3 linked regions of the Pelodiscus sinensis genome follow. The protein of the gene in region 3 purifies or fractionates together with the protein of the main gene of each other region. This does not show direct contact. Links are inferred from orthologs where the notes say so. Each region holds a gene or a part of one and is shown on either strand. Other genes may lie near its edges. The genes, in order: EXOC7, EXOC3 and EXOC6B.

Region 1 (10,011 bases), on a different chromosome or scaffold from region 3:
CATCATCTGCAAATAAATCTAACTCCTCCACCCAGCTCCCTGTGGAACAGTAGAGATGGATGTTCATAGGGGACAAGGTGCCCTTTCTGTTTGGGAGGTAATACTTTCTAATGGTTGGAGCTGGGAGGGGGCTATTTTTTGAAGTCAGGACTCTTGGGGGGAGGGGTGTCTAGCCACATATCTGCAATTGACTTGATATGTGACCTTGGGTAAGTCACTTAATCTTTCTCCATCTCCATTTTTCCTTCAGTAGAATGGGGATGATAATTCCTACCCTCCAGATACTTGTGATACTCTGTTACTTATCTGCATAGCATTTTGAGATTAATTTTTGTTTTATTAAAAATGTGTATGGCCTAGAAGCCTCCCCTAAATTATAGTCTCATTGTGCTAGGTGCTGTATAACAAATAGTAAATTATAGTCCCTGAGCCAAAGAGCTGATATTCTGATTTAACAACAGACCACATCTCATTGTTTGTTTTAACCATTACAATACAGCTCCCTTCCCCAGTAATGGATTCAGGAAAACTGGGCAGTGAGTGATGTGCTGATTCATTTACAGGGGACCACGATGGGGAAATGTCCTGATTTATACTATGCTTCTAGCTGCCAATGGCTTCCCAGCCAGGTAACATAGTTCCCACTTCCCTGTATATTAACACAATTGTTTGCTAAATAGCTTACAACACAATATTTACCTTGACCTGTGGCATTAAGACTTTTTCCTCCACCCCCAAAGGATTGTCACAAATAAATTACATTGGAACACAAGAGGTGAAGGGTTTTGGAGGGTGAATTGGCTTGGATGAATTATCTAAAACAATATTCCCCTATGGCTGGTAGTTGGAAAATCCCTCGTGTGCCTTTTTTGGTTGGAGGCTAGCTGTAGAGACTCTGCCAAACAAATGCCTCTTCTCCCCAACTGAGTAGTAAAAGGAGGAAAGCTGGTGCTTGGGGACACCTGGCGGATGTGCTGCATTTCACATGTTCTGGGAATTCATTGCATGTTGCGGATCTTTTGTCTCACTGAAATTACTCTTCTCCTTGTCACAGCAACAGTATTCGATGTATGATTTTTTTGTGTGGCTTTCCTTTTGGAAGGCTCAGCAGGAATCAAGAACTGGTGGCTGCTACAGGCTATGAGTACTTTTGGGGGATGCCCTCTACCTGTCTTTATATGTGTACTCTCTCTAGGTACTTTTATAGCTCTCCTCAGTGTCCAAATGCCTCTGTATCCGCACCATGCAAGGCACTTGGAGAAGAAAATTATCAAGAGAAGGTGGGAGTGCTGATATGAATTTCAGAATGTCTAGAGACTTACTCTCATCTCCACTGGCAGGAAGCACAGGCTGTGTCTAGACTGGCAAGTTTTTCCTCAAAAGCAGCTGCTTTTGCGGAAAAACTTGCCAGCTGTCTACACTGGCCGCTTGAATTTCCACAAGAACACTGACTTCCTACTTTCTGAAAACAGTGCTTCTTGTGGAAATACTACACTGCTCCCGTTCGGGCAAAAGTCCTTTTGCACAAAAGGGCTGGTGTAGACAGCTCAGATTTGTTTTGCGCAAAAAAGCCCTGATCGCGAAAATGATGATCAGGGCTTTTTTGCGCAAAAGCACGTCTAGATTGGCATGGACGCTTTTCTGCAAAAAGTGCTTTTGCGGAAAAGCATCTGTGCCAATCTAGACGCTCTTTTCCACAAATGCTTTAACAGAAAACTTTTCCGTTAAAAGCATTTGCGGAAAATCATGCCAGTCTAGACGTAGACACATTGCGTAGCTCCCATTAATGCTAACTGGTATGGCACTGTTGGCCTCCACGGCAGTAGCCAAACACTAAGGCAGGGTTTGGGAACCTCAAGCTTGTAGCCCCCACCTTGCCTGGATCTAGCCCCTGAAGCTCAGCCACCTCCCCCCAGCATTGGGGAGTTCGCAGTGGCACTCCAGCCCCCCACCGTCCCATCACGGGGCTGGAGCACACAAAATCTACTAGGCTAGCCCTAGGCTCTGGTGTGCAAGGGGAATGTGGGGAGTATCTTTCTCCTAAGTTGGGGACCATGTCAGTGAGGGTTGGGGGGGGGGCTTTCCTTCTCACTTGTGGCCCAACTGATTTTTCTGTGAGTCAGTGGCCCCAGAAAAGGTCCAGAAAAGGTTCCCCAGCCCTACATTAATGGGAAGCCCCTGAGCCCTGGTCTTTAGCTACCCATTTTGTAACTGCAATGCCAAAGGCAAACTCACATATGATATCAATAATACTGGTTTGCACTTCAGTGGCACTCTCCAGCTACAGATTCTGAGAATTAGAGGATTAATGAATCTTTGTGACATGTCTGCAAGGGTGGTGGTATAATACCCATTTTTGCAATAAGGTAAACTGAAGAGCAAAGCAACAGGTTGAGTAAATAGAGCCAAAAGTGGATCAAGTGACTGCTCCCGATCAGTAGCCAAACTATAACAAGCAACCAGGAGCCCTAGCTCAGAGGCGGCAACCCCGACTAAAACTACTAGTCAACATTCCCCCTTCTTACACTCAGCTGGTATTTTAAAAGGGAAGTGTAGGCTCCCTTTACTAAAGGAGCCTCTAATTTTTACTGGGGGGATCCTTTGTGCTGCAGTCTAGCCCTAGAGACAACAACTCCTATGAGCCCTTGGGGAAAAGGAGGGAAAACTGTTGCTCTCTTGTAGGCAGTGCAGAAAGAGAGTTGGTGGGCTCCAATTTGGAAAGAGGAGCCAGACTGCTGCTGTGGAACCTTTTTCTAGTCCAGGAGCTGCTGCTCAAAGCTAGAGCCTGCTGCTGAAAGCCTGTTGGCTTGGATCTAGCAGGCCAGCAGTTCCTAGCCACTGGTGCAAGGACCAGTGCCTGTATATGGCCCCACCTTTCAACCAACCAGCAGGAGTGGGGGGGTCTCCTCCCAGACACAGAAGAGCAATTCGCTACGTGGCGGAAGAGCTGCACAGAGCCTTGCACAGCAGCCTTACAGCAGCTGTGACCTGGGCAGCAGCACTCAGCTTGTGGTTAAGAGGCACCTCAGGGCTAGGTGGGGGGAGGTGAGGCAGGCACTGAGGGCTCCCGGGGTGGGGCTAGTGCTGGGGGGCTCTAAAAAGTGGGAGGCTGGCACTGGGAGGGCTCTAGGGATGGGGCTAATATTGGGGACTGGCACTGGCGGAGGTCTGGGGGGATTGGGTGCAGTGGGGTTCTGGAAACAGGAAGTTGGCACTGGGGGGTCTGGTGGTGGTGGGCTCTAAGGGATGGGGCTGGCAATGAGGCTTTTGGGACGATGGATTGGCACTGCTGGGCTCTGAGGATAGGAGGCTGGCACTGGGTGCAGGGAACTCAGGTCAGTGGCTGGCACTGGGGGGTAGTGGAAGAGTTGGGATTCTAGGGGTTAGGGCTGGTGCTGGAAGTCTCAGGGGGCCAGGGTGTACCCCAATCCCAGCACCACTATGAACAGCTGGCTTCAGCTGCAACAGCCACCTGCCATGGGCTATGCCCATGGCTCTGAAAAGCCTGCATAGAAGGTACTTTTAGTAACTGTGGCTGTTTGGGAAAGTGCTGGGGAAGGGGAGTCGGAGTCCCAGGGTCTGGGAGGGAGTTGTGACCTGGGGGGGAGGGATGCATATGGTTTGGATGGTGACCTGGGGAAGGGAAATGGGGTGCAGGAGGGGCTGGGGTGCCAGAGGCAGGCTCTGGCCAGGAGGAGCTTACCTAAGCATCTCCCAGCCTGCAGCACCCCAAGACAGGCTGGGCTCCCTGACTGCGGCAGCCCCAAACCACTTAAAACTGCAAGAGGTTCCCTTCATGTGGGACTCAGGTCTGGGAGGGGGGAGAGGCTTATGCTGCCTCCATCCCCCAGGGCAATCTCTCAGCTCACATTGGATGTTTGGTTTTGGCCAATAAGCGCAGAGAGATTGGCTGGGGTGAGTTCCTATTGGTCGGTTGTTTCCAGCCAATAGGAGCTGAGTATTGGGCTGGAGGCAGGGTGATCACCTGAAGCCTCCACCTCCCCCAGGAGTAGAGGCGTAGAGAGCAGCCCTGCTCTTAAAACAGTTGCTGCTGTATGCTAGAGGGTCCTAGCAGGGTGTCCATGGGCTGGACTGGGCGGCTTAGCCGGATCTGGGCTGCAAGAGGTATCTTGCCCACCCCTGCTTTAGAAGCAAGAGACTGCCACAAGCGGGTGGATAGCAAGGAGATCCCTATCTACCCAGCATCACCATAGGGACACTCAGGATCTCCTTTAATGTTAAAAACATCTGGTGCTCAGACACACAGGCGAGAGAGTGGTCTGCTCCTGAGTACTCCAGTGAGGAAAGGGAGGGTTACAGAAGATTGCCTGATCCTAAAATGTCTTAATAGTTACATGGCTGTCTCCCTGAACATAATAGAATGTAAATTGTGTAACACCGTGGTTCTCAGACTTTTTGGTCTGTGTCCCACCCTGCTCAAAACAAACCTTTTGTGGACCACCAGCAACCACCCATGATGACCAAATGGGAGCAGGAGTGGACTGGGAAGATGGGGAGGAGGGTCTGGCAGGGAAGTCGGATGCAGGAGAGGGGTGGAGGTCTGGCTGGAATTCCAGGAAATGAGAGTAGAATCATAGAACCATAGAGCTAAAAGAGACCTGAGAAGGTCCCCTGCCCACGTAGTGGGGAAAGTCTCTGAGGCTATGTCTACACTGGTGGGTTATTGCGCAAGAACAGCCGTTCTTCAGGAAAGCATCCACTGCCCACCTGCTCTTGCACAAGAAGATTTACGGTACAGTGTGGTAAGAGAGGGCTTCTTGTGCAAGAGCTATGCTCTTTTTTAACAGGTGTAAGCCCTCTTGCACAGGAGCTCTTGCACAGAGGGCAGTGTGGACGCTCGGCAGGGATTTCTTGCGCAAGAAAGCCCTATGGCTAAAATGGTCATCAGAGGTTTCTTGCGCAAGACAACATCCACATTGCCATGGATGCTCTTGCGCAAAAGCACAGCTCACACATGGCGGTGTGGACATTTTCTTGCGCGAGAGTTCTTGCACAAGAACCCGCCAGTGTAGACATAGCCCATGTGAGCAGTTTCCTGCGCTGCAGTTTCCCCAGCCAAGTGAGAGGGGGAGTGGCAGCATATGGAACCACTTCCTCCCCCTATGAGCTAGATCTGACCCACAAGGCTTAGGGCTCTCCCATCCTGCAGCGGGAAGCCAACCTTGCAGGGAGAAAGGGCTATACAAGGCTGGAGTGCCAGTGAGGACTCTCTGCTTGCAACTAGAGGGAGGGGAGAGAGAGAGGGCAAGCCCACAGCCCACCTGCAAAGGCAATCACAGACCACACTTTGAGAACCACTGGTGTAACAGATGAGGAAACAATCTGTTAAAAATGGGCAATGGTTTTTGGGATCCATGGAAGACCTTTTGAGACTGATTGATTGCTCTCCTAATATACAGTAAGGGTTTGGAAATGTGGAAGGAGGACACTGAGTTGACAAAAAACACATACTTGTATATTTCTCCCAAGAAATACCAGACATCTGGTATTTTTTGGTGGAACAAAAAAAAAAAAAAAAAAAAAAAAAAAGGGACGCGGTATTTTTTTTTTGTAAAGTAGGACAAGAAGGACAATTTTTTTCAAAGGAGGACAAAAGGAGGACATAATTATTGTGGAGGACAAGCCCCTCAAAAGGAGGACTATCCTTCTCAAAGGAAGACGTCTGGTCACTTTAGGGGAAGTGGGAATTAGGTTACCTGGCTGGGAAACCCTTGACAGCTAGAAACATAGTGTAAAGCAGAATATTTCCCCACCATGCCCCCCCCCATAAAATTAGCACATCACTGACTACACTGCACAAGGTATGTGCAAGTCAGCGATCCCCACAGCCAATCACTGTTGGCAGAGGGATGAGGCCCAGGGAGTGTAACAGCAAGTGTGCTGTATTTAACTCATGCCTGCAATTCCCTCCCCAGGCACTACCGATACACCTCCCCTGCCCCCCACCAATCCAGTAGTGAACATGACAAGAGCGCGCTCCAGTGGACACGCCCAATATGGCGGTCTATGAACATCGTTCCAAGGGCCTGCCACTCTTTATATGGCGCGCATTGGAGACGCGCAAGCGTACTTCTGCTCGCAAGCCGAGCCCTAAAGTCTTGGATCTGCGCATGAGTACTGGTTCCAAGATGGTGGTGTGTGGCGGGGCGCAGGCGCATAGCCATCTGCCGCGCTCAACATGGCGGCTCGGCGCTGACGGCGGCGGGCGTGAGGCGGAAGTGGGGAGACTGACTGACAGTGGCGGGCACGGCCGGGCTGTGGGTGTTTGGCAGGCCGGTGCCCCTTGGCTGTGCCCAGCGGTTCCGCGGCAGGATGATCCCTCCGGATGAGGCCTCTGCCCGCAGGCGGGAGATAGAGGACAAGCTCAAGCAGGTAGCGGGGGGCGCTGCGCTGGGCCCGGGGAGACCCCGACACCCCCACATCGTTGCCTGCTCCACCCCCGCCCCCAGGACAGCGCCGCCCCTGTACAGCCCCTTAAAAGACTCCCTCCCTCACAGCTCCAGCATCCCCCCCCGGACAGCTCACCCCACTGCTGCTCCCCCACCTGCCCTAGGGAGACCCTCCCTGCTACCCACCCACACTGTAGGGCCCTCACTCCCTAGGCAGGGACACTGCCTCTAGTGAGAGGCCTTTCCCTGCAGTGCAGTCTGGGATCCGCCTTCCCTAAACCGCTCCATTTCCCCTGGAATTGGCCCCCAGAACGTTCCCACGATTTGGGGCTCAGGGGAGCCTCCTTGGAACCAGATTCCTGCCTGGACAGCTCCACTCCTCTGGAACTGAGCCTGCTAGGCAGACCTCCCTGGAACTGAGACCTCCTTGCTCCCCCTGAACCAGACCGTACAGCTCTGCTCCTGTGACATGCCCCCTCCAGAGAAAGACCCCCTGAGTCCTCCCCCATGCCCTTTCCCCAACTGGGGCCTAACCTGTAGATGACATCTACAGAATGACTCCAGCACTCCATAGGCTCCTGGAATTCTTCCCTTGCAAAGAGAAGACCATTTCTTGAGAGCTTTTGCATAATTTCCCATAATTTCTCCACCCCATAATATCATCCATATCCCATCATTTTAAAAATAGAACATTTACTTCTGAAATAAATCAAACACAAGAGAAAAAGAACATTCATGTCCATTTTGGTATACACACAGCAACCATGGGTCTCACAAGTCAGTATTTGTGAAGCTGTGGTTTTTCTTACTGACCTCTGGTGTGGAATGGCACAGGTAGGGATATGGCCCCTGAAGTCACATGGAATGATCAGATCTGGGGATAGGAATGTTAACATGTAACCTTAATTGGTGTTGCTTACTGGGTAATAGTTAATCGATACCCAGGGAGCAGCCCCCTGGCCCAACTCAATGCTGCTCTAGCACCACCGGGATCCCATGCAGGGCTGGAAGCTGCCAGGCTGGAGCAACTCTTGACTACGGCAGGGGCGCTACTTCAGCCCAGCCGGAAAGTGGCATTTATTACTTTGTCATAATAGGGCACTTACATCGGTGGAAGACAAGTTTGAGTGTAGTCAGATACACAGCTAGGTCAATGAAAGGTGACTCGCATTGTCCTAAATTTGTAGTGTAGTCCAGAGGCAAGACAGATTTAAATTGAATTGAGAGTGTTTGCTACACTGGGTTAATTGATTTTAAACAAATTAAACCTTTAGTTAAACTGGTGCTACTTTGTATGTAGATTATTAGTTGATTCTCACCTGCTAACATTGTTTTGTTGTGTTTAAATTCATAACACTAGAGAACAGTGTTTAAATCCAGATGCCTCTGTATTGAAATTTAAAAACAGGTATATCATTTTAATGTTTCTGTTCTAATTAAAAGTGTACGTGTTTTTAAACTCCTTCTCAATTATTTGATATTTCCTTTAATAGAACTTAGAAATGCAGTTTTCTTTCAATCTTGTGTAAAGTTTGAAATTCACCTGTCATATAAAACTGATAAATTCTTCTTTATTCCAATGTCAGGAAGAAGAAACACTGTCCTTTATAAGAGAGAGCCTTGAAAAAAGTGATCAGCTCACAAAAAACATGGTAAGCAGGGTCCCGTAAACTAAGTTTAAAAAGGTAGGATATGGTTTGCTTGGTCTCTGATTCTGGTGCTTTCTCTCCTGAGAGTTTCTTTGAAAGCTCTGATTTGCCAACTTGGGAAACTTATGAGTTCACTGGGTACTGTTTTTAGATTAGAATCTTGAGGATAGGTTATAAAGTGTGTTGGGGTGCAAGTTTGCCAGGACTGGAAACTTGAGTTCAAATGATCCTTCAATCTGGTTTAATTTATGTGCATTTATAGCATTGCTCATCTCAGTATTTCAGTACCTCCTGAGTATATGACAGTAGAAATAAATCCACTCCAGCCAGGGGGTAAAATAGCTAATATTAATTGTTCTGTGTGTCAGGGCACAGGGGTGAAGAGCTTTGGGAAAGCCAAGTAGAAGAGTAATTTCTGAATACAATTTACTTGGTGATCTTTCTGAACTCATCTGGTAGTGAATTCAGTAACCTGGATCTGAAGGATCTATTGTTGGTTGACAGTTTTGTATTGCCTGTGTATTGCCATGATCCACCACATCCGAACAGAAGCATAGAATTGGATTTGGTATTAATTAGGGAGTCCATTCCCAAGGAGAAGTGTGGCATTGATGTGCTCATGGGCACTTGTGTTGTGTAACAGGTGGGCTGCTGGATGCTCTGCCTAATGGATTCCCTCACCCCACCTCACCACTTCTTATTCTTACTTTTGAGTTTTAGTAACTGAGTCTCAGTCACTGTAGCTGGATCTGAATCTGACTGGATGGAATTGTGTACTTTTTGTTATTGTTGCAAGGAGACTAAAGTGACCTCTAGCATTGCAAATCTCTGCCCAGGAGCTGAGAGAGCATGTGGAACTCAGACAAGACAGAGATGATCTTGCTGGAGAGAAGGAAGGGCTTGGACGAACTTTGTTCCTCCATATCATCCATTTTCTGCTGAGGCCACTTACCCTCTTAATTAAGTTAGTTGCAAACTTGGAGTTCCTTGACAACCAAATTAGGGATGTGAATGGATGATCAGTTAACCGGTAAGCATCACCCTTACTGGGTGATACTTATCAGACATTGTTAAATGGCAGGGGCTGGAGCAGCCCCTGTCCATGGCAGGAGGGAGGCGGCGATCCAGCCAATCTGCAAACACCAGCCTTTGTTTAATTGTTAACCAGTTATGTTTAACTAGATAAACTAATTAAACGGGATTGTACGTGCCTAAACCAAATGGTCATGGCAGAACAGGGCTATGAACATCAGTCAAATGACTTCTCCATCGTAAACTTCATTCACTCAGTACAATTGAGTAAAGCAGGCATTTTCAAACTTCATTGCAATGAATGACAATTTTTTTCATTAATTTTTTGTCAATTTTTATTTTTTCTGACTAAAATTATCACCACAGGAGAAGGGACCAAAGCCTGAGTCTTCCTGAGCCCCTCTACCCTGAGCTTGGGAAGTTGGGGGACTTGTAACCTGAGCTCCAACTTGCAGGGCTGAAGCTCTCAGGCTTCAGCTTGGGCTTTGGCCCCATGCACCGGAGCTCTGACTTTAACTTCAATCTCGGAACCCAGCATTAAAATGGGGTTGCAACCCATTTTGGGATCCCAACCTACAACCTGAGAACCCCTGGAGTAAAAACTCTGCTTCAGCCTTTCCCCTCACCTGAGATAGCTACAGTTTATCTCCCTTTGGATACTTCCCTAGCACCTGTTGTATGATGATTTGAGTGCTATACCAATGCTAAATATAATACTAATAAGTATATGGTGATGTTTAATATTACTTCCATTTACACATTGGAAAGCAGAAGCATAGGTGGGTTAAGGGATCTGCTCAAGCAGACAAGCAATTCAGTGGTAGAGCCAGGAGTAGAAGCTGGGAATCTGGATTTCTATTACCCTCTTAACCGCTAGCTCACAATACAGTTGTGTTTTATGTGGAAGGAAATTCTCCATG
Region 2 (9,626 bases), on a different chromosome or scaffold from region 3:
CAGCTGTCTACACTGGCCACTTGAATTTGCGCAAGAACACTGACGATCTAGTGTATGATTGTCAGTGTTCTTGCGCAAATACAATGCTGCTCCCTTTCGGGAAAAAGCCCTCTTGTGCAAAAGCTTTTGCGCAAGAGGACCAGTGTAGACAACTGAGAACCATTTTGCGCAAAAAAGCCCTGATGGCGAAAATGGCGATCGGGGCTTTCTTGCGCAAAACCGCATCTAGATTGGCACGGACGCTTTTCCACAAAAAGTGCTTTTGCGGAAAAGCGTCCGTGCCAATCTAGATACTTTTTTCCGCAAATGTGTTTAACGGAAAAACTTTTCCGTTAAAAGCATCTGCGGAAAATCATGCCAGTCTAGATGTAGCCACTGAGTATAGAATGAATATTCTAATAATTTACAGGTAAACCCTTTAATTAGTATGAATTAGAATTAATTTAAAACATGGGTACTGTAAAGGGATTTAGTACCCTGACATTTCTAATCCCAAATGACCTTGATATAAATTATCTTAATAATGGATTAACACAGATTCTTCAAATTTCCCAGGTTTTTAAAACGCTCTGAAATCTTGCACTGAGAATACATTTGAAGTTTTAAGATCATGTTTGCCTTCGTCCTTCAGAAAGAAAGTTTATGCATCAGACTTAGTGAACAATAATCTTCTTCAGATAATGCCACCAAAAAGGTACTTTGCAAAATGCTTACTAGCAGCAAACTAGCATCTTACTAGCAGCAAACAAAGAATGCCAATGACACCATTCACCAGCAACTCACAGGGTTGCTCTCTACCTCCTAACAGTATCAGAGGCTACCATCTTCTGAGTAGGCTGGCTTCACTTCTATTGAGAACATAGGAGGAAAAACCTAATTTGAAAGAGAGCATCTCCACGAAGGGTAACCTGTGGCCCCCTGGCAATAATAGAAGATGGCAGCCATTTTGACAGAGCAATTTTTGGTAGGATTTATCATGACATTACTAGGGAGGAGGAAAGAGGAAAAAGATCAGTGTGTCTTTTAAAAATAAGTTTAATCAGCAACACAAATATTTTAAATAATCATACAGTTATTCTATTCTATTGCTATAGGATAAAGTTAAGATTGTTTGAGAACCCAAACTGCATTTACATATTTTAACATCTTTGAATTTCTTTTAAGTTTAATCTTAAATGTGAGTTTCTTGACATTCTAATTTTTTAATAGAATTACAATATCCCTGTATTGTATTTTACCCTAAATTACTGATGTAGAATCATAGGATGGAAGGGACCTCAAGATGTCATCTAGTCTAGTCCCCTGCACTCATGGGAGGATTAAGTACTACCTAGCAGTCTTAACTCCATCCTATCAGTTTTTCTCTGTATTATTATTAGTATCTTAGATCCTCTTGTTTCTTATCCACTTCCCCTCCCCATATTCTAAGACATATCTATTCCAGGAAAAACCTCAGTATATCCTTCTGATATTAAAGGGAGGAAACCACATTTGCTCAATATACTTCTCCAACCCTTTAAGCATTTTGTTATTTCAGAACATTTTAAGCAGATATGTAGTACTGATTTGAAGGATATATGTCAAGTTTAACATTTTTGAAGGTGTTTATTTAAACACAGAAAAATAAAACCAGACAAGTATATACTCTCATACCGTCACTAAAAACGTCTGCATTGCATCTGAGAGTGAATCTCCCAGCCCAGTTCCAGCTGGAGCTGCAACATCAAAGAAATGGCTACACAGCTATTTTTAGCACTACAGCACCACCCCTATTATCATAAGTCTCTGGACCTGGCCTGAGAAATTCGCTCTCAGATGCAGTTTAGTGATTCCCTATAATGCCTAATAAATTCTCAAATCATCCAAAGACCAACACCTAATGTATAAATTGCATGACAATACACCATCGAATTTGTTTCTGCATTATTAATAAAAGCAAATTATTTCAGTGGCAAATTCATAAAGCTGGATCTTTGGCAATGGTGGCTGTATAGACCAATGTGGGAGGTTTGGAGCTATCTTCTGTGAGGATCATTAACACTTTCCATTGTGAAAGGAGGGTACACCAACCCTTTGAAAAGGCACTGGTGAGACTCCTCTTCAAGGAAGCATTTCTTGACTTTAACAGTCTTGTCAACTACCACTCTGTCTCTAAACCCCTATGTTAAACAGATTATATTAATAAATGGGGCTTTCCAGACTCATCTCAATCTGATCATCAGTCCCTACAACCTTAATGTTAAGCATGGATTTAGTATAGGATGTTTTCATTGATTGTTGACAATTTCCTCTTGGGACAGACAACAATCAAGTATATACGATCGATGTGCTGGCTTTATAAACAAATTATATAATTTGACAGCATTTGAAAAATTCTTTTATTAGTTGCAAATAAGGCCTATTATGTGCTAAGGAAGAAGGCCTAAGCTATTAATTTTCTAAGGAGCTTAAACGTTAAGTTAAAAAATAAGGTTTTCAGATTTACAGCTGTCAGGGTAATCTTCTCAATATGAAAGCATTAACCCATGATGTGTTATCTTTCTGAGTTTGTAGACAAACAAGCTCTGGTGCCTTTGTTGCTCTTCATGATTTTCCCAATCATCTACAGAGTGAAATTAACAAGACTGATACTACATAATACTATAGGTGCAGCAAACTAACAAAAACCATGTCAATTTCACTTAGCTGTTGTTTGGAAATCATGAGAAATCTTGGAAGCAGACACTGGCACAACTACTCCATCATCCTCTGCACCCTAGTGAGGTGAGAGCTTGGACTATGAAAATTAACACTGAAATTCTCTCTCTGATTGGACTTGAACAACAGTAGGGAATTTCCAGCCACTGACATCTTTCTGTCCAAAACGACATCTCAGCAAGCCCCTTTAAAACCACATGGAGCACCTCCAGCTCCAGAGTCAAGCCTCTTGAATAAAAGACTGATGCAGCTGCCAGAATACCTGTTTTTTTCCCTGCTAAACGGGACAAGCCGTTTAAAAGTATTTATATTTAAAATAAAACATAGAACTAAAAAAGATACAATCAATATTATGTTGCTTGGATACAGTATCACACTACCTTTCTGTTTTCTGAATTTTTATACCATAAACATATTAGGGAAGCATTACTTCTTCCTATATGTTTGCTCAGCACCTACTACCAGAGAGAGGCTTGATAGGGACTGAGGGCCTCAGGGACTGTGGGAAACATAACACAGATTTCTTGATATTCTGTTTAAAAATTTTACCGGTGTAGTGCTCAAAATGGAGCTAATACAGCTATCTAAATTAATAAGTTGTAAATACTTGTTTAAAACAAGTTTGTCCAAACTGAATTATGAGGCTGACATTTTTCAAGGGGCAGAGAAAAGAGGCGTTGGAGATCACAAAACTGGAAAATATGAAGGAGCATTGGGATTCTGTAATGAGAGTTAAGAAAAAAAGAGAAGAAAGAAAAGTAAAAAGACTGGGTAGGGTCACCCTTCCCTTCTGTGCTTCAAAAGAGGCTCCTACCTAATGCACAGGTGCTTCTGGACAGCTGCCACATCAGGGAAGTAAGTAAAAGGGCAAAATTTAAAACAGCGCCCCACATTGAACAGGTTTGATATTTCGATTCTGTAGGCCGTGAGCAATGGGGAGTCCTTCAAAGGTTCTCTGGCTTCTCTTCTGCACTGGCCTCCGCGAATCCTCAAATTGACACCAGACCCTCCGGTCCCCCCGCCCCATCAGTAATAACGCAAGGACCCCGGAAGGTAACTCGACAGGATCCCACCCAGGCCCAGCCCATCTGGCCCCTCGCCCTGTGCCCGCACCCCAGCAGCACAAAGAGGCCCCGAGATGAGCTAGGACCGGCACAGCCCCCCCCCCCCCCAGGGTTACGGTCACGCTCGCAGGGACGGGAACGGCTGCTCCGCGCAGTAGCTGCCAGAGCGTCGTGGCAAGGGGGCAGAAACCAACCCCCCCCCATCCCACCTGCCCCTGCCAACCTGCCCCCGCCCCAACCTCTCCTCGGCCAGGGCTTCCCGCAGTGCTCGGCCCCGCGCTCCCAGAGCCCGGTCCTGCCCGCAGCCGGCGCCCCGCGGGGACCAGGCGGAGCGACACCGGCCTCGAAGGCCGCCACTTCGTACCTGCGCTGCCAGCTCCCAGGAAGTCACTGACAGGCGCGCAATGCGCAGGCGCCGCCCTGGACGCCGGAATCGCAGAGCGACCGCCCGGCACCTCAGGCTCACTGCGCAAGCGCGAAACCAATTCGCTCTCCCTCCCTCCCCGCTTCTCATACTGCGCATGCGTATTATCCTCTGCCAGTCCTTTCCTTCCCAATTCCCCATTGCGCCTGCGCTGATAGTCTTCAATGCTGTGTCCGAGCGAGGGGCGTGGCGTGGCGTTCGCCCTTCCCTACCCCCTGGTGGCGGGGCGGGATTCGAAAGCGTGTCCTTGGGAGCTGCTTTTCCCTGGGCTGTCAGCCTCTGTGCGCGCAGCTCCCGGGCAAGACACGTTTGCCAGGACTTAAAAATCTTTAGGGATGGAGACTCCACTAGGGAACCCATTCCAGTGCTTCACCACCCTCCCAGTGAAATAGTTTTTCCTAATAGCCAACCTAGACCTCCCCCACTGTAATCTGAGACCATTGCTCCTTGTTCTGCCATCCCTCACTTCTAGGAACAGCCTCTCTCCATCCTCTTTGGAACCCCCCTTCAGGAAGTTGAGGGCTGCTACCAAATCCCCCCTCACTCTGCAGACTAAATAAGCCCAAATGGTTGAGCCTTTCCTCATAGGTTATGTGCTCCAGCCCCTTAATCATTTTGGTTACCCTCCGCTGGACCTTCTCCAATGCTTTCTATAGTGGGGGGCCCAAAACTGGATGCCATACTCCAGGGCTGTGTCTAGACTGGCAAGTTTTTCCACAAAAGCAGCTGCTTTTGCGGAAAAACTTGCTAGCTGTCTACACTGGCCGCTTGAATTTCCACAAGAACACTGACTTCCTACTGTCTGAAATCAGTGCTTCTTGCGGAAATGCTATGCTGCTCCTGTTCAGGCAAAAGTCCCTTTTGTGCAAAGCCTTTGCGCAAAAGGGCCAGTGTAGACAGCTCAGATTTGTTTTGCACAAAAAAGCCCCGATCGTGAAAATGGCGATCGGGGTTTTTTTGCGCAAAAGCGCGTCTAGATTGGTACAGAATCTTTCTGCTCTGAAATGTGATTTGTCCTTTTCATATGTGTTCATTTTTTTTTAATTGTATCCTTTGGTATATATATGGCTGTGACTATTTTCTTCCACTATTTGATCTGAGGAAGTGGGTCTGGCCCACGAAAGCTCATCATCTAATAAACCATCTTGTTAGTCTTTAAAGTGCTACATAGTCCTGTATTTTGTTTCCACAAAAAGTGCTTTTGCGGAAAAGCGTCCGTGCCAATCTAGACACTCTTTTCCGCAAATGCTTTTAATGGAAAACTTTTCCGTTAAAAGCATTTGCGGAATATCATGCCAGTCTAGACGTAGCCCAGGTGTGGCCCTACCAGTGCTGAATAAAGGGGAATGATAACTTCTCTAGATCTGCTGGAAATGCTCCTCCTAATGCACCCTAATATGCCATTAGCCTTCTGGCCTACCAGGGCACACTGTTGACTCATATCCAGCTTCTCACCCACCGTAATCCCCAGGTCCTTTTCTGCTGAACTCCAGAAAACTGGAAATGTTCAGAAATCATGAGATTATGTAAAAATGGGTTTTCATTTGCTTTTTGAGCCTTTAGGGTGCATGGGGATCATACTTTGAAAATTTCTCCACAACCATAAGGGCTAGACACTCATTTTTCCTTTGAGAATAAAGGCTGAAAACATCGCATCTTTGTTTGACTGTACGAGCTGGGGCTTTAAGGCAAACAATAATTATTATGAGACTCATGACAAAATAATGAGTGTTGGCAACACTGCAGACGGTTTCTGCCCCCTTCCACACCAGACCCAGTTCCACCAGACTCCTTAGCCTAGTCTACTAGTCTACTCCTTTCCCTCCCTCTAGTTCAACTTTTGTCCCTTCTTTGAATCAGGCAGCTCCCTCCTCCTCATTCCCTACTTGCCAGCTGATCAGTGGCAGATTTAGAGTTAGTGAGGCCCAGTGCTCAGCTTCCTTTTTGCCCCCCTCCTTCTATATTATAAGTAATAAGAAGTAAATGAAAATAAAGTGAGGCGCCTTGATTGTTTTTGTAGTCTAACTTTTTTTTCCACAGACCATTTGAAATTTGCTGAAGGTCTCGGGTGGACCACTTAATGATCTTTCCAAATATTGTTTGTACCATTCGCTAATTACTGCAAAGTGCTTTGGATAAGAGTGCTTTATTTAAAAAAAAAAAATCTCTGTGGCTGCAGAGGACACCTTCAGGTGCCCCAGTGGCCCTGCATTGGCTGGCCTGAAGAAGTGGGCAGAGACCCACATGTGCTTTACCTAAAGGTGAGGGAGGCATAGTGCTATCAGTCATCTGAGTGCTGCCCCTCTCCCCGTCCTGGGCTCTCTATCCCCTGGCCACTCTCCCCCTTGCCTGCGGGCAGCCACCACTCACCAGGTGGCATCCAGCAGCACAAACACAGGCTGGAAGGCGTTAGAGATCACTGGGTAGATGCACAGCTGGCGGCCAAAGAGAAGCAGCGCTTTCCCGCTTCAAAGCACCGCTTTTCTCTGGCCGGCTGTGTGGCTCTTCTGAAGCCTTCCAGATCATGTTTGCACTGCTCACTACCTTCTGACAGCTCACCTGAGGCTGCAGTCTGCAGGTGGGCCTCCCTGCTCTCTTGCTCTCCCCCCCACCCAGCCCTTTCTGCAGAGGGACTGGCCCCCACTTCCCTGCAGAGTGGCCACCCCCTGTGTGGGGGGGTGTTGGATCCGGTACTGGACTGCCCAGCCCAGGGGGGCTCTGTGTCATTGGGAGGGGGCATGCCAGGGTACGGTATGTTTCATTTAAATCTACCTCTGCAGCAGATGAGTCATTGAGAAAACAAGGAGAAGCACTGGACATTCCCTGCTTTTGATGGCTGGCTCCACCCAGCCCAGAGCTACCATTACAGGAAAAATGTCTTTGCCATTGTAGACCTAAGGCTAGAGCAGGGATGGGCAAAATACAGCCTGTACAGATCCAGCCTGCCAAATATTTGAATGCAGCCTGATGCTACCCTGTCTTCTGTGGTCCCATACACTGCTCAAAGCATCCGGTTGCTGGGGCAAGCATGTGTATCTCTGTGTGGTGCATGCTGCTTGCGGAGAGGATTCTGTGTGCTGCCCCCACCTCCAGCACAATCCTCGTAGCGCCCATTAGCCAGAAATCAGCCAATGAAAGCTGCAGGCTCAGTGCTTGCAGGTACATGCAGCACATGGAGACCTGCTAGCCCCTTCTCCCAAGGGGCGCACTGCCCAGAGACACACACTGACCCCAGCAGCCAGCCACTTTGAATAGTGTGTGGGACCGCAGAAGGAAGGGAGCCTATCCAAGCATCCTGATGGGCTGCCGCCTGGCTCTGTCTCCAGTAAACACTTTCGATTCCTGGCCAGAGCCTGTATCTGATACCCTACTCCCTTCCACACTCCCAACATCTTGCCCCAGGTAAAAACCTCCTACTGCATCCAAGCTCCTTCACAAATACTGTGTTGTGCTTATTAGAAGCACACAGGATCTTTTTCAGGGGGAAGACAATATGCCACATATATTGACAATACAACAGGAAAAGTAGCATATGCATCCACACACACAGGTCTAGCAGATGATACTAGTTACTAGTCTGTGGTAACTCAAATCAATCTAGTGGCCAGTTAGATTGAACATGAGTGAGGAGCTGGGTTCTGTTGGTCATGATCCGAAGTGCCAAGGCAGGACAGAACCCAAAGTTCCATGGCAAGAGCACCCCATTTTTATACTTGTCAGTTCCCTGGATCTCTTGCGCATCTCTTTGCACATCTCTTGCACAAAAGCACATGCCAGGGTAGACGCTCTCTTGTGGAAGAGTTTTTGCACAAGAACTCTTCTGCAAAAGAGTTCTTGTGCAAGAAGCTGCCAGTGTAGACGTAGCCAAGCTCTTGTGTTTTCCCCAAAATGAAATCACACCACACAAGGACTCACAAACTAAAGCAACCTCCAGCCACTAAGTTCAATAATCCTTATGTTTTAGGTGAGGGTTTATGGAGAACTTATCCTTACTTATGTTAATTGAAGGGTGAGTTCACAGTCATGAAGAGGTCTGTGATTCATCCAGTCATTAATCTCAGTTTAACAGTACAAGGCAGAAGAAGAGAAATGTTTTTGGGGGATGTCCTAAATTAGAACCCCTTGGTCAGATGACCCCAAATTTGATGGCCTTGTGCTTCCATTAAGGATATCAAATTTAAAAGCAAATTTGAGTATCTGTTTGGATTTTAGAGCACTTAAAGAGTTGAGTTTAAAGTGCATAAAATGTCAGGGATGGAAACTCTTTAGCTATTTTTCTGTACTTTTGTGCATGGGCAGTGTAAAAATGTACATTTTCTTAAATACTGTTCTCAGTTTGGGTCCCCCAAAGAATTACTGTGTGCCATGCACTAGCTTGGGTAAAACTCAATATACTTGGACCATTTTCTCTTGCATCACATCAATAATACGATGTATATGAGTACAGAGGGGTGGACTAGACAATCTCTTGAAGTCCCTTCCAGTCCTAAGATTCTAGCTGGGGGGGGGGGGGGGGGGGGAGAGATTTAGGAGGGAAAGCTACCTAGAATCTCTTTTTAAAATGGCTATTTTCCGGGCTTATGCTTCCAGAAGCCAGGGCTCAAATTACATAGGGCAGTTTGTTGCAGTGAAAGACAATGCAGAGACTGCAGCAGCAGTGGCAGAGGCACCAGCCAGAGGTCAACAGTTTCTGTGACTGCTGTCAGTAGCAGAGGCATTGCTCAGTGCTTCCCTGACATTTTCAGGGGTGAGACGTGAACCCATGTAAATTCACCATGGAATGCTCAGACTTATATAACCTCAAACTCTGATGCTGACAAACTAGGTGCTAGCTCTTGCCCAAGCCTCAGATACTAGCTAAGAACTAACAAACTAATAGCTGGAGACCAGACTAGGTTACCTGCAGATTAGTTTTGCTCAATTAGTATTATAAAAGTATATAAAGTGTTTAGATGATATGCTTGTAAATTACTGCATGTGTTAATCTCACTTGTAATGAGATTACAAGTGCATCTGATGAAGTGGGTCTTTGCCCACGAAAGCTTATACGCCAATAAATCTGTTAGTCTATAAGGTGCCACAGGACTTAGAACATAAGAACATAAGAATGGCCATACTGAGTCAGACCAAAGGTCCATCTAGCCCAGTATCCTGTCTGCTGACAGTTGCCAGCACCAGGTGCCCCAGAGAGGGTGGACCAAAGACAATGATCAAGCGATTTGTCTCCTGCCATCCTTCTCCAGCCTCTGACAAACAGATCATCTGAAGAAGTGAGCTGTGCCCACGAAAGCTCATGATACCATCTACATGGTTTGTTAATCTATAAAGTGCTGCCAGACCATTTGTTGTTTTTTAAGTTTATCCTGTATAGACTAACTCCGCTACCCCCTGAAGCATGATAACTCTGTTACTCTTAGGATTTAGATAACTCATTTGTGTGT
Region 3 (9,562 bases):
GCTCAGGGGGTCCCTGCCGGGGGGGGAAGGAGTCTCTATCCGGGGGGGCTCAGGGGGTCCCTGCCCGGGGGGGGGTAAGGAGTCTCTATCCGGGGGGGGGCTCAGGGGGTCCCTGCCCGGGGGGGTAAGGAGTCTCTATCCGGGGGGGCTCTAGAGGGTCCCTGCCCGGGGGGGTAAGGAGTCTCTATCCGGGGGGGCTCTAGAGGGTCCCTGCCCGAGGGGGTAAGGAGTCTCTATCCGGGGGGGGCTCAGGGGGTCCCTGCCCGGGGGGGTAAGGAGTCTCTATCCGGGGGGGCTCAGGGGTCCCTGCCCGGGGGGGTAAGGAGTCTCTATCCGGGGGGGCTCAGGGGGTCCCTGCCCGGGGGGGTAAGGAGTCTCTATCCGGGGGGGCTCAGGGGGTCCCTGCCCGGGGGGGTAAGGAGTCTCTATCCGGGGGGGCTCTAGGGGGTCCCTGCCCGGGGGGGTAAGGAGTCTCTATCCGGGGGGGGGGCTCTAGGGGGTCCCTGCCCGGGGGGGTAAGGAGTCTCTATCCGGGGGGGCTGCTCTAGGGGGTCCCTGCCCGGGGGGGTAAGGAGTCTCTATCCGGGGGGGCTCTAGGGGGTCCCTGCCCGGGGGGTTAAGGAGTCTCTATCCGGGGGGGCTCAGGGGGTCCCTGCCGGGGGGGGAAGGAGTCTCTATCCGGGGGGGCTCTAGGGGGTCCCTGCCCGGGGGGGGTAAGGAGTCTCTATCGGGGGGGCTCAGGGGGTCCCTGCCCGGGGGGGGTAAGGAGTCTCTATCCGGGGGGGGCTCTAGGGGGTCCCTGCCGGGGGGGGAAGGAGTCTCTATCCGGGGGGGGCTCAGGGGGTCCCTGCCCGGGGGGGTAAGGAGTCTCTATCCGGGGGGGGCTCAGGGGGGTCCCTGCCCGGGGGGGTAAGGAGTCTCTATCCGGGGGGGGCTCAGGGGGTCCCTGCCCGGGGGGGTAAGGAGTCTCTATCCGGGGGGGGCTCAGGGGGTCCCTGCCCGGGGGGGTAAGGAGTCTCTATCCGGGGGGGGCTCAGGGGGTCCCTGCCCGGGGGGGTAAGGAGTCTCTATCCGGGGGGGCTCAGGGGGTCCCTGCCCTGGGGGGTAAGGAGTCTCTATCCGCGGGGGCTCAGGGGTCCCTGCCCGGGGGGGTAAGGAGTCTCTATCCGGGGGGGGCTCAGGGGGTCCCTGCCCGGGGGGTTAAGGAGTCTCTATCCGGGGGGGGCTCAGGGGGTCCCTGCCGGGGGGGGAAGGAGTCTCTATCCGGGGGGGCTCAGGGGTCCCTGCCGGGGGGGAAGGAGTCTCTATCCGGGGGGGCTCAGGGTGGTCCCTGCCCGGGGGGGGTAAGGAGTCTCTATCCGGGGGGGCTCAGGGGGTCCCTGCCCGGGGGGGTAAGGAGTCTCTATCCGGGGGGGCTCAGGGGTCCCTGCCCGGGGGGGTAAGGAGTCTCTATCCGGGGGGGGCTCTAGGGGGTCCCTGCCCGGGGGGGTAAGGAGTCTCTATCCGGGGGGGCTCAGGGGGTCCCTGCCCGGGGGGGGTAAGGAGTCTCTATCCGGGGGGGGCTCAGGGGGTCCCTGCCGGGGGGGTTAAGGAGTCTCTATCCGGGGGGGGCTCAGGGGGTCCCTGCCCGGGGGGGTAAGGAGTCTCTATCCGGGGGGGGCTCAGGGGGTCCCTGCCCGGGGGGTTAAGGAGTCTCTATCCGGGGGGGGCTCAGGGGGTCCCTGCCGGGGGGGAAGGAGTCTCTATCCGGGGGGGCTCAGGGGGTCCCTGCCCGGGGGGGTTAAGGAGTCTCTATCCGGGGGGGCTCAGGGGGTCCCTGCCGGGGGGGAAGGAGTCTCTATCCGGGGGGGCTCAGGGGGTCCCTGCCGGGGGGGAAGGAGTCTCTATCCGGGGGGGCTCAGGGGGTCCCTGCCGGGGGGGAAGGAGTCTCTATCCGGGGGGGCTCAGGGGGTCCCTGCCCGGGGGGGGGTAAGGAGTCTCTATCCGGGGGGGCTCAGGGGGTCCCTGCCCGGGGGGTTAAGGAGTCTCTATCCGGGGGGGCTCAGGGGGTCCCTGCCCGGGGGGTTAAGGAGTCTCTATCCGGGGGGGCTCAGGGGGTCCCTGCCGGGGGGGAAGGAGTCTCTATCCGGGGGGGCTCAGGGGGTCCCTGCCCGGGGGGGGGTAAGGAGTCTCTATCCGGGGGGGCTCAGGGGGTCCCTGCCCGGGGGGTTAAGGAGTCTCTATCCGGGGGGGCTCAGGGGGTCCCTGCCCGGGGGGGGTAAGGAGTCTCTATCCGGGGGGGGCTCTAGGGGGTCCCTGCCGGGGGGGGAAGGAGTCTCTATCCGGGGGGGGCTCAGGGGGTCCCTGCCCGGGGGGTTAAGGAGTCTCTATCCGGGGGGGGCTCAGGGGGTCCCTGCCCGGGGGGGTAAGGAGTCTCTATCCGGGGGGGGCTCAGGGGGTCCCTGCCGGGGGGGTTAAGGAGTCTCTATCCGGGGGGGGCTCAGGGGGTCCCTGCCGGGGGGGTTAAGGAGTCTCTATCCGGGGGGGGCTCAGGGGGTCCCTGCCCGGGGGGGTAAGGAGTCTCTATCCGGGGGGGCTCAGGGGGTCCCTGCCCGGGGGGGTAAGGAGTCTCTATCCGGGGGGGGCTCGGGGGTCCCTGCCCGGGGGGGTAAGGAGTCTCTATCCGGGGGGGGCTCAGGGGGTCCCTGCCCGGGGGGTTAAGGAGTCTCTATCCGGGGGGGGCTCAGGGGGTCCCTGCCCGGGGGGTTAAGGAGTCTCTATCCGGGGGGGGCTCAGGGGGTCCCTGCCGGGGGGGAAGGAGTCTCTATCCGGGGGGGCTCAGGGGGTCCCTGCCCGGGGGGGGTAGGGAGTCTCTATCCGGGGGGGGCTCAGGGGGTCCCTGCCCGGGGGGTTAAGGAGTCTCTATCCGGGGGGGGCTCAGGGGGTCCCTGCCGGGGGGGGAAGGAGTCTCTATCCGGGGGGGGCTCAGGGGGTCCCTGCCCGGGGGGGTAAGGAGTCTCTACCCGGGGGGGCTCAGGGGGTCCCTGCCCGGGGGGGGAAGGAGTCTCTATCCGGGGGGGGCTCTAGAGGGTCCCTGCCCGGGGGGGTAAGGAGTCTCTATCCGGGGGGGGCTCTAGAGGGTCCCTGCCCGGGGGGGTAAGGAGTCTCTATCCGGGGGGGGCTCTAGAGGGTCCCTGCCCGGGGGGGTAAGGAGTCTCTATCCGGGGGGGGCTCAGGGGTCCCTGCCCGGGGGGGGAAGGAGTCTCTATCCGGGGGGGGCTCAGGGGTCCCTGCCCGGGGGGGGAAGGAGTCTCTATCCGGGGGGGCTCTAGGGGGTCCCTGCCCGGGGGGGTAAGGAGTCTCTATCCGGGGGGGTAAGGGGTCCCTGCCCGGGGGGGTAAGGAGTCTCTATCCGGGGGGGGGCTCAGGGGTCCCTGCCCGGGGGGGGTAAGGAGTCTCTATCCGGGGGGGGTAAGGGGTCCCTGCCCGGGGGGGTAAGGAGTCTCTATCCGGGGGGGGCTCAGGGGGTCCCTGCCCGGGGGGGGAAGGAGTCTCTATCCGGGGGGGTAAGGGGTCCCTGCCCGGGGGGGGAAGGGGTCTCTATCCGGGGGGGGCTCAGGGGTCCCTGCCCGGGGGGGGAAGGAGTCTCTATCCGGGGGGCTCTAGGGGGTCCCTGCCCGGGGGGGTAAGGAGTCTCTATCCGGGGGGGGCTCTAGGGGGTCCCTGCCCGGGGGGGTAAGGAGTCTCTATCCGGGGGGGCTCAGGGGTCCCTGCCCGGGGGGGTAAGGAGTCTCTATCCGGGGGGGCTCAGGGGTCCCTGCCCGGGGGGGTAAGGAGTCTCTATCCGGGGGGGCTCAGGGGTCCCTGCCCGGGGGGGTAAGGAGTCTCTATCCGGGGGGCTCTAGGGGGTCCCTGCCCGGGGGGGTAAGGAGTCTCTATCCGGGGGGGCTCTAGGGGGTCCCTGCCCGGGGGGGTAAGGAGTCTCTATCCGGGGGGGGCTCTAGCGGGTCCCTGCCCGGGGGGGTAAGGAGTCTCTATCCGGGGGGGGGCTCTAGGGGGTCCCTGCCCGGGGGGGTAAGGAGTCTCTATCCGGGGGGGCTCAGGGGTCCCTGCCCGGGGGGGGTAAGGAGTCTCTATCCGGGGGGGCTCAGGGGTCCCTGCCCGGGGGGGAAGGAGTCTCTATCCGGGGGGGGCTCAGGGGTCCCTGCCCGGGGGGGTAAGGAGTCTCTATCCGGGGGGGGCTCAGGGGGTCCCTGCCCGGGGGGGGTAAGGAGTCTCTATCCGGGGGCTCCGCCGGGCGGGCGGTACCTGAGCGTGGGCCCGATGCAGGCCGTGTCCGTGCTCTCGATCTCGCGCAGGATCCGCTCGTGCTCCGCCGCCGTCTCCAGGCTCTCGAGCTCCGCCATCTTCCCCCGCTCCATGGGCTGCGGGCCCGGCTGGGACGCTGCCACCCGCACGCTCCCCTCAGCCCCGGCCCGGCCGCCGCACCCCCGCGCCGCGCCCGCCCCCTGCCGCCCGGCACGCCGGGAAATGGAGTCCGGCCCCCGCGCCGCACTGCCCCGCCTACACCCGCTCCTCCACTGGGGCCGCCGCCAGACCGCCCCGCCCCCTCATTGGGGGGGCCCCCGCCTGCCAGACCCGCCCCGCCCCCTCATTGGGGGGGGCCCCCGCCTGTCAGACCCGCCCCACCCCCTCATTGGGGGCCCCGCCTGTCAGACCCGCCCCGCCCCCTCTTTGGGGGCCCCCCCCGCCTGTCAGACCCGCCCCGCCCCCTCATTGGGGGGCCCCCGCCTGTCAGACCCGCCCCGCCCCCTCATTGGGGGGCCCCCCCCGCCTGTCAGACCCGCCCCGCCCCCTCTTTGGGGGCCCCCCCCGCCTGTCAGACCCGCCCCACCCCCTCATTGGGGGCCCCCCCCGCCTGTCAGACCCGCCCCGCCCCCTCATTGGGGGGGGCCCCCGCCTGTCAGACCCGCCCCGCGCCCTCATTGGGGGGGCCCCGCCTGTCAGACCCGCCCCGCCCCCTCATTGGGGGGGCCCCGCCTGTCAGACCCGCCCCGCCCCCTCATTGGGGGCCCCGCCTGTCAGACCGCCCCGCCCCCTCATTGGGGGGGGGCCCGCCTGTCAGACCCGCCCCGCCCCCTCATTGGGGGGGGCCCCCGCCTGTCAGACCCGCCCCGCCCCCTCATTGGGGGGGGCCCCCGCCTGTCAGACCCGCCCCGCGCCCTCATTGGGGGGGCCCCGCCTGTCAGACCGCCCCGCCCCCTCATTGGGGGGGGCCCGCCTGTCAGACCCGCCCCGCCCCCTCATTGGGGGGGGCCCCCGCCTGTCAGACCCGCCCCGCCCCCTCATTGGGGGGGGCCCCCGCCTGTCAGACCCGCCCCGCCCCCTCATTGGGGGGGGCCCCCGCCTGTCAGACCCGCCCCGCCCCCTCATTGGGGGGGGCCCGCCTGTCAGACCCGCCCCGCCCCCTCATTGGGGGGGGGGGGGGGCCCGCCTGTCAGACCCGCCCCGCGCCCTCATTGGGGGGGCCCCGCCTGCCAGACCCGCCCCGCCCCCTCATTGGGGGGGGCCCGCCTGTCAGACCCGCCCCGCCCCCTCATTGGGGACCCGCCCCGCCCCCTCATTGGGGGGGGGGCCCCGCCTGTCAGACCCGCCCCGCGCCCTCATTGGGGGGGCCCCGCCTGTCAGACCCGCCCCGCGCCCTCATTGGGGGGGCACCGCCTGTCAGACCCGCCCCGCCCCCTCATTGGGGGGGGCCCGCCTGTCAGACCCGCCCCGCCCCCTCATTGGGGGGGGGGGGCCCGCCTGTCAGACCCGCCCCGCGCCCTCATTGGGGGGGCCCCGCCTGCCAGACCCGCCCCGCCCCCTCATTGGGGGGGGCCCGCCTGTCAGACCCGCCCCGCCCCCTCATTGGGGACCCGCCCCGCCCCCTCATTGGGGGGGGGCCCCGCCTGTCAGACCCGCCCCGCGCCCTCATTGGGGGGGCCCCGCCTGTCAGACCCGCCCTAGCCCCTCATTGGGGGGGGCCCCGCCTGTCAGACCCGCCCCGCCCCCTCATTGGGGGGGCCCCGCCTGTCAGACCCGCCCCGGTGCCCCTCATTTGGGGCCGCCTGCCGGATCCGCCCCCACGCCCCTCATTGGGGGCCCCGCCTGTCAGACCCGCCCCTCATTGGGGGCACCCCCCAACCTATCAAACTTGCCCCAGCGCCCCCCATCGAGCACCCTCTACCCCTGTCAGATCTGCTCTCAGTGCTTCTCATGGGGAGTCCCTCCACCCCATCAGTCCTGCCCCCAGGGCTTGTCACTGGGGGAGCCTGATCCCATCTCAGAGCCCCTCACTGGGAACCCCCACTCATGTCCGACCTGCTCCCAGCATCCTTCATTGGGGACTCCCCATCCCTGTCAGACCTGCCCTAGAATCCTAATTGGACTTACCCCTCGCCCCATCAGACCTGCTCCCAGGGCCCCTCATTGGAGGCAACCCCAAAACCTCTCAACTTGCCCCAGAGCCCCTTATTGGAGGACCTCATGCCTATGAAACCTGCTCCCAGGCCCCCACATTGAAGAACCCCCCACCCCGTCAGATCTAATCGGGTGCCCCTCCTTGGGGGAGATTACCATCAGACCTGCCCCAAGAGGGTGTTCACCTTTGCTGGATAGAAATAGCGGAAAATCACATGAAAAATAAAGAACAGTACTTAATTTTACTGGACACTTGAAGGAACCGCCATTTCTCTCAGCACAGCATGTATTTTTCTCTCAAATGTACTTTTCTACTGCCTTCACGAATACAGTTCAATTATTGTAAGCTTCAATAAAAAGGAGTCCTGTGGCACCTTGAAGAATAACAGATTTGTTTGGGCATAAGCTTTTGTGGGCAAAACAAACTGTTTTTTACCCATGAAAGCTTATGCCCAAAATAAAACTGTTAGGCTACGTCTACACTGGCACCCTTTTCCGGAAATGCTTAAAACGGAAAACTTTTCCGTTATAAGCATTTTCGGAAAAAGTGCGTCTACATTGGCAGGATGCTTTTCCGGAAAAGCGTCCGTGCCAATGTAGACGCGCTTTTCCACAAAAAAGCCCCAATCGCCATTTTTGCGATCGGGGCTTTTTTTGCGGAAAAGAAATCTGGGCTGTCTACACTGGCCCTTTCCGGAACAGTTTTCCAGAAAAGGACTTTTGCCTGAACGGGAGCAACATAGTTTTTCCGGAAAAACACTGACGATTTTACATTAGATCGTCAGTGCTTTTCCGGAAATTCAAGGGGCCAGTGTAGACAGCTGGCAAGTTATTCTGGAAAAATGGCTGATTTTCCGGAATAACTTGCCAGTGTAAACATAGCCTTAGTCTTTAAGGTGCCACAGGGCTCCTCGCTGTTTTTGCAAATTTAGATTAACACGGTTACCCCCTCAGGGATTCATAAGCTTCGATGTAATGTTTAAAATGATCAAGGGATATCCCTTAAAATCAAATCAAGAGATGTCCCTTAAAAGGAAGACATCAACAAAATAAGGACTAGCCCCTTAAAATAAGGTGATGGATGGGCACCCTACACCCCAGTGGCCCTCCGTGAAGGAAGTTGTACACATTCCAATCAGTCCACTCTCGGTAACTGTGGGGAGGAAACACACATCACACCACGCCACGGGACCTGTTCTCACTGCCTCTCACCGGGAGCCTCCAACTGTCAGAATTTCCCCCGCTGCCTCTGTATGGGGCAGAGATCCCAGACAGAAGTGCTTTAATTGGGGGGAGAGACTTCATTCAGTCTAACTTGGCCCCTGAGTCCATCCCAGTAAAGGGCTCTGGCAGTAGGTCTGACTCATGTGGTGTTCCCCCAATATGAAAACAACGCATTGGCTTCAAACTGCCTTTCAGTCTTGAACTATCCCCAAATGCTTCACCATATATATAATTACAAACCCAACCAGAAGACAGTCCCTTTTGAGGTGAAGAGCAGCAGCATCTCAATAGTACTAAGGAAGGGCCATTTGGCCAAGAACACCAGGGAAGCATCTTACCAGATGGCCTCTGGGTTCTATAATCAGCATCTCTGTCACAAAGGTCTTGTCGTTTTGGTTCTCAGCATTTCTCTCTGATAACTAAGTGGCTCACTGGGACTTTTCAGTTTAGAAAAGAGGAGACTGAGGGGGGGATATGATAGAGGTCTATAAAATCAGGAGTGGTGTGGAGAAGGCCGATAAAGAAAAGTTATTTATTAGTTCCCATAATAGAAGAACTAGAGGACACCAAATGAAATTAATGGGTAGCAGGTTTAAAACTAATAAAAGAAAGTTCTTCACACAGCGTGTAGTCAACCTGTGGAACTCCTTGCCAGAGGAAGCTGTGAAGGCTAGGACTATAATAGAGTTTAAAGAGAAACTAGATAATTTCATGGAGGCTAGGTCCATAAAAGGCTATTAGGCAGGGGATAAAAGTGTGTCTTTGGCCTCTGTTTGTCAGAGGCTGGAGAGGGATGGCAGGAGACAAATCGCTTGATCATTGTCTTCTGTCCACCCTCTCTGGGGTACCTGGTGCCGGCCACTGTCGGCAGACAAGATACTGGGCTAGATGGACCTTTGGTCTGACCCAGTACGGCCGTTCTTATGTTCTTATGTTATGTTCTATGTTATTGCTCTTGTTGTCATTATTTATTATCCTCACAGTTCTGCTCAGGTTCTTCCATTACTTGTATGGCAGCATTGGGTGTTGTATAACACGTAGAAAGAGCTGGTCCCTGTCTCCAAAGAGTTTATAATTTAAACAAACTGCAAATGGGTGGAACAAACAAATGGAATGCGAGAAAGATGGCAGGAACTGTGGTAGGAACAGATTACTTAGACCAGTGTTTCTCAACCAGTGGTACGAGTATCCTTAGGGGTACTCAAGAGAAGGCTGGGGGGTACCTCAACACAACCGAAATTTGGAGAAAACTGAATTTTTGTTTTAAGTTTTACAGTGCTTTATTATTTTTGTACTTTTTACACCCAAAAATTTCATTGCCTGCCTGGCTACGATTAAATTGTTTAAACAAATGTGTTGCAATGGTAGAAAAAAATTGTGTGTCTGAAAACTGTAGGTACTGGGGGTACATATAATTTTTTAAAGGGGTACTTTATAAAAAAAAGGTTGAGAAACACTGACAGTTTATGTACACTATTGCTTGTTTTTTAATCAAAGGTGGTTGTTTCAAGTTTTAAGCTATAAATAAACAAGAACGACTCTTCTAGTCCCCTTCTTTGACTGCTAAAAGGTTGAATGCTGCTGATCTGGATATAGCTTTGACTTAGAATATCACCCAATTAAATGAAAAGGTGATAGAAGAAGTGTCCAAATCACTACATGTATCCTGAATGTATTGGCAGAGGAAACGGCAGGGGAAGCTCCCAAAACAAAGTTAGATTGTGTTAGTGCAATAGTTGTTTTAGATCGCATTTACAGTTGCCAAATGTGGTGTCTTAAGGGACCAGATGGATGTCATTCTGGATATGTTAAAACCAGAGAGGAAATCTGTACTCCACTGGCAGTCACCATGGAGATGTGATATTTGCTCCCCGAGGACCAGAAGCAAATAGACACG

What was found.
Region 1: the proteins of EXOC6B (region 3) and EXOC7 purify together in Homo sapiens (affinity purification with mass spectrometry; 3 studies listed by BioGRID and IntAct, with this or other methods). This does not show direct contact. The link is inferred for Pelodiscus sinensis from reciprocal best matches to the Homo sapiens genes EXOC6B and EXOC7.
Region 2: the proteins of EXOC6B (region 3) and EXOC3 purify together in Homo sapiens (affinity purification with mass spectrometry; 3 studies listed by BioGRID and IntAct, counting the BioPlex papers as one, with this or other methods). This does not show direct contact. The link is inferred for Pelodiscus sinensis from reciprocal best matches to the Homo sapiens genes EXOC6B and EXOC3.

Annotation. Positions count from the first base shown.
Region 1 is NC_134730.1:10,780,315-10,790,325, forward strand, and holds the start of EXOC7 (exocyst complex component 7), read left to right. Parts: upstream 1-6,204; 5' UTR 6,205-6,333; coding exon 6,334-6,393; intron 6,394-7,996; coding exon 7,997-8,062; intron 8,063-10,011. UniProt on the Homo sapiens protein: Component of the exocyst complex involved in the docking of exocytic vesicles with fusion sites on the plasma membrane.
Region 2 is NC_134712.1:144,900,389-144,910,014, reverse strand, and holds the start of EXOC3 (exocyst complex component 3), read right to left. Parts: upstream 4,247-9,626; 5' UTR 4,126-4,246; intron 3,535-4,125; exon of another isoform or gene 3,512-3,534; intron 1-3,511. UniProt on the Homo sapiens protein: Component of the exocyst complex involved in the docking of exocytic vesicles with fusion sites on the plasma membrane.
Region 3 is NC_134715.1:131,708,044-131,717,605, reverse strand, and holds the start of EXOC6B (exocyst complex component 6B), read right to left. Parts: upstream 4,511-9,562; 5' UTR 4,401-4,510; coding exon 4,288-4,400; intron 1-4,287. UniProt on the Homo sapiens protein: Component of the exocyst complex involved in the docking of exocytic vesicles with fusion sites on the plasma membrane.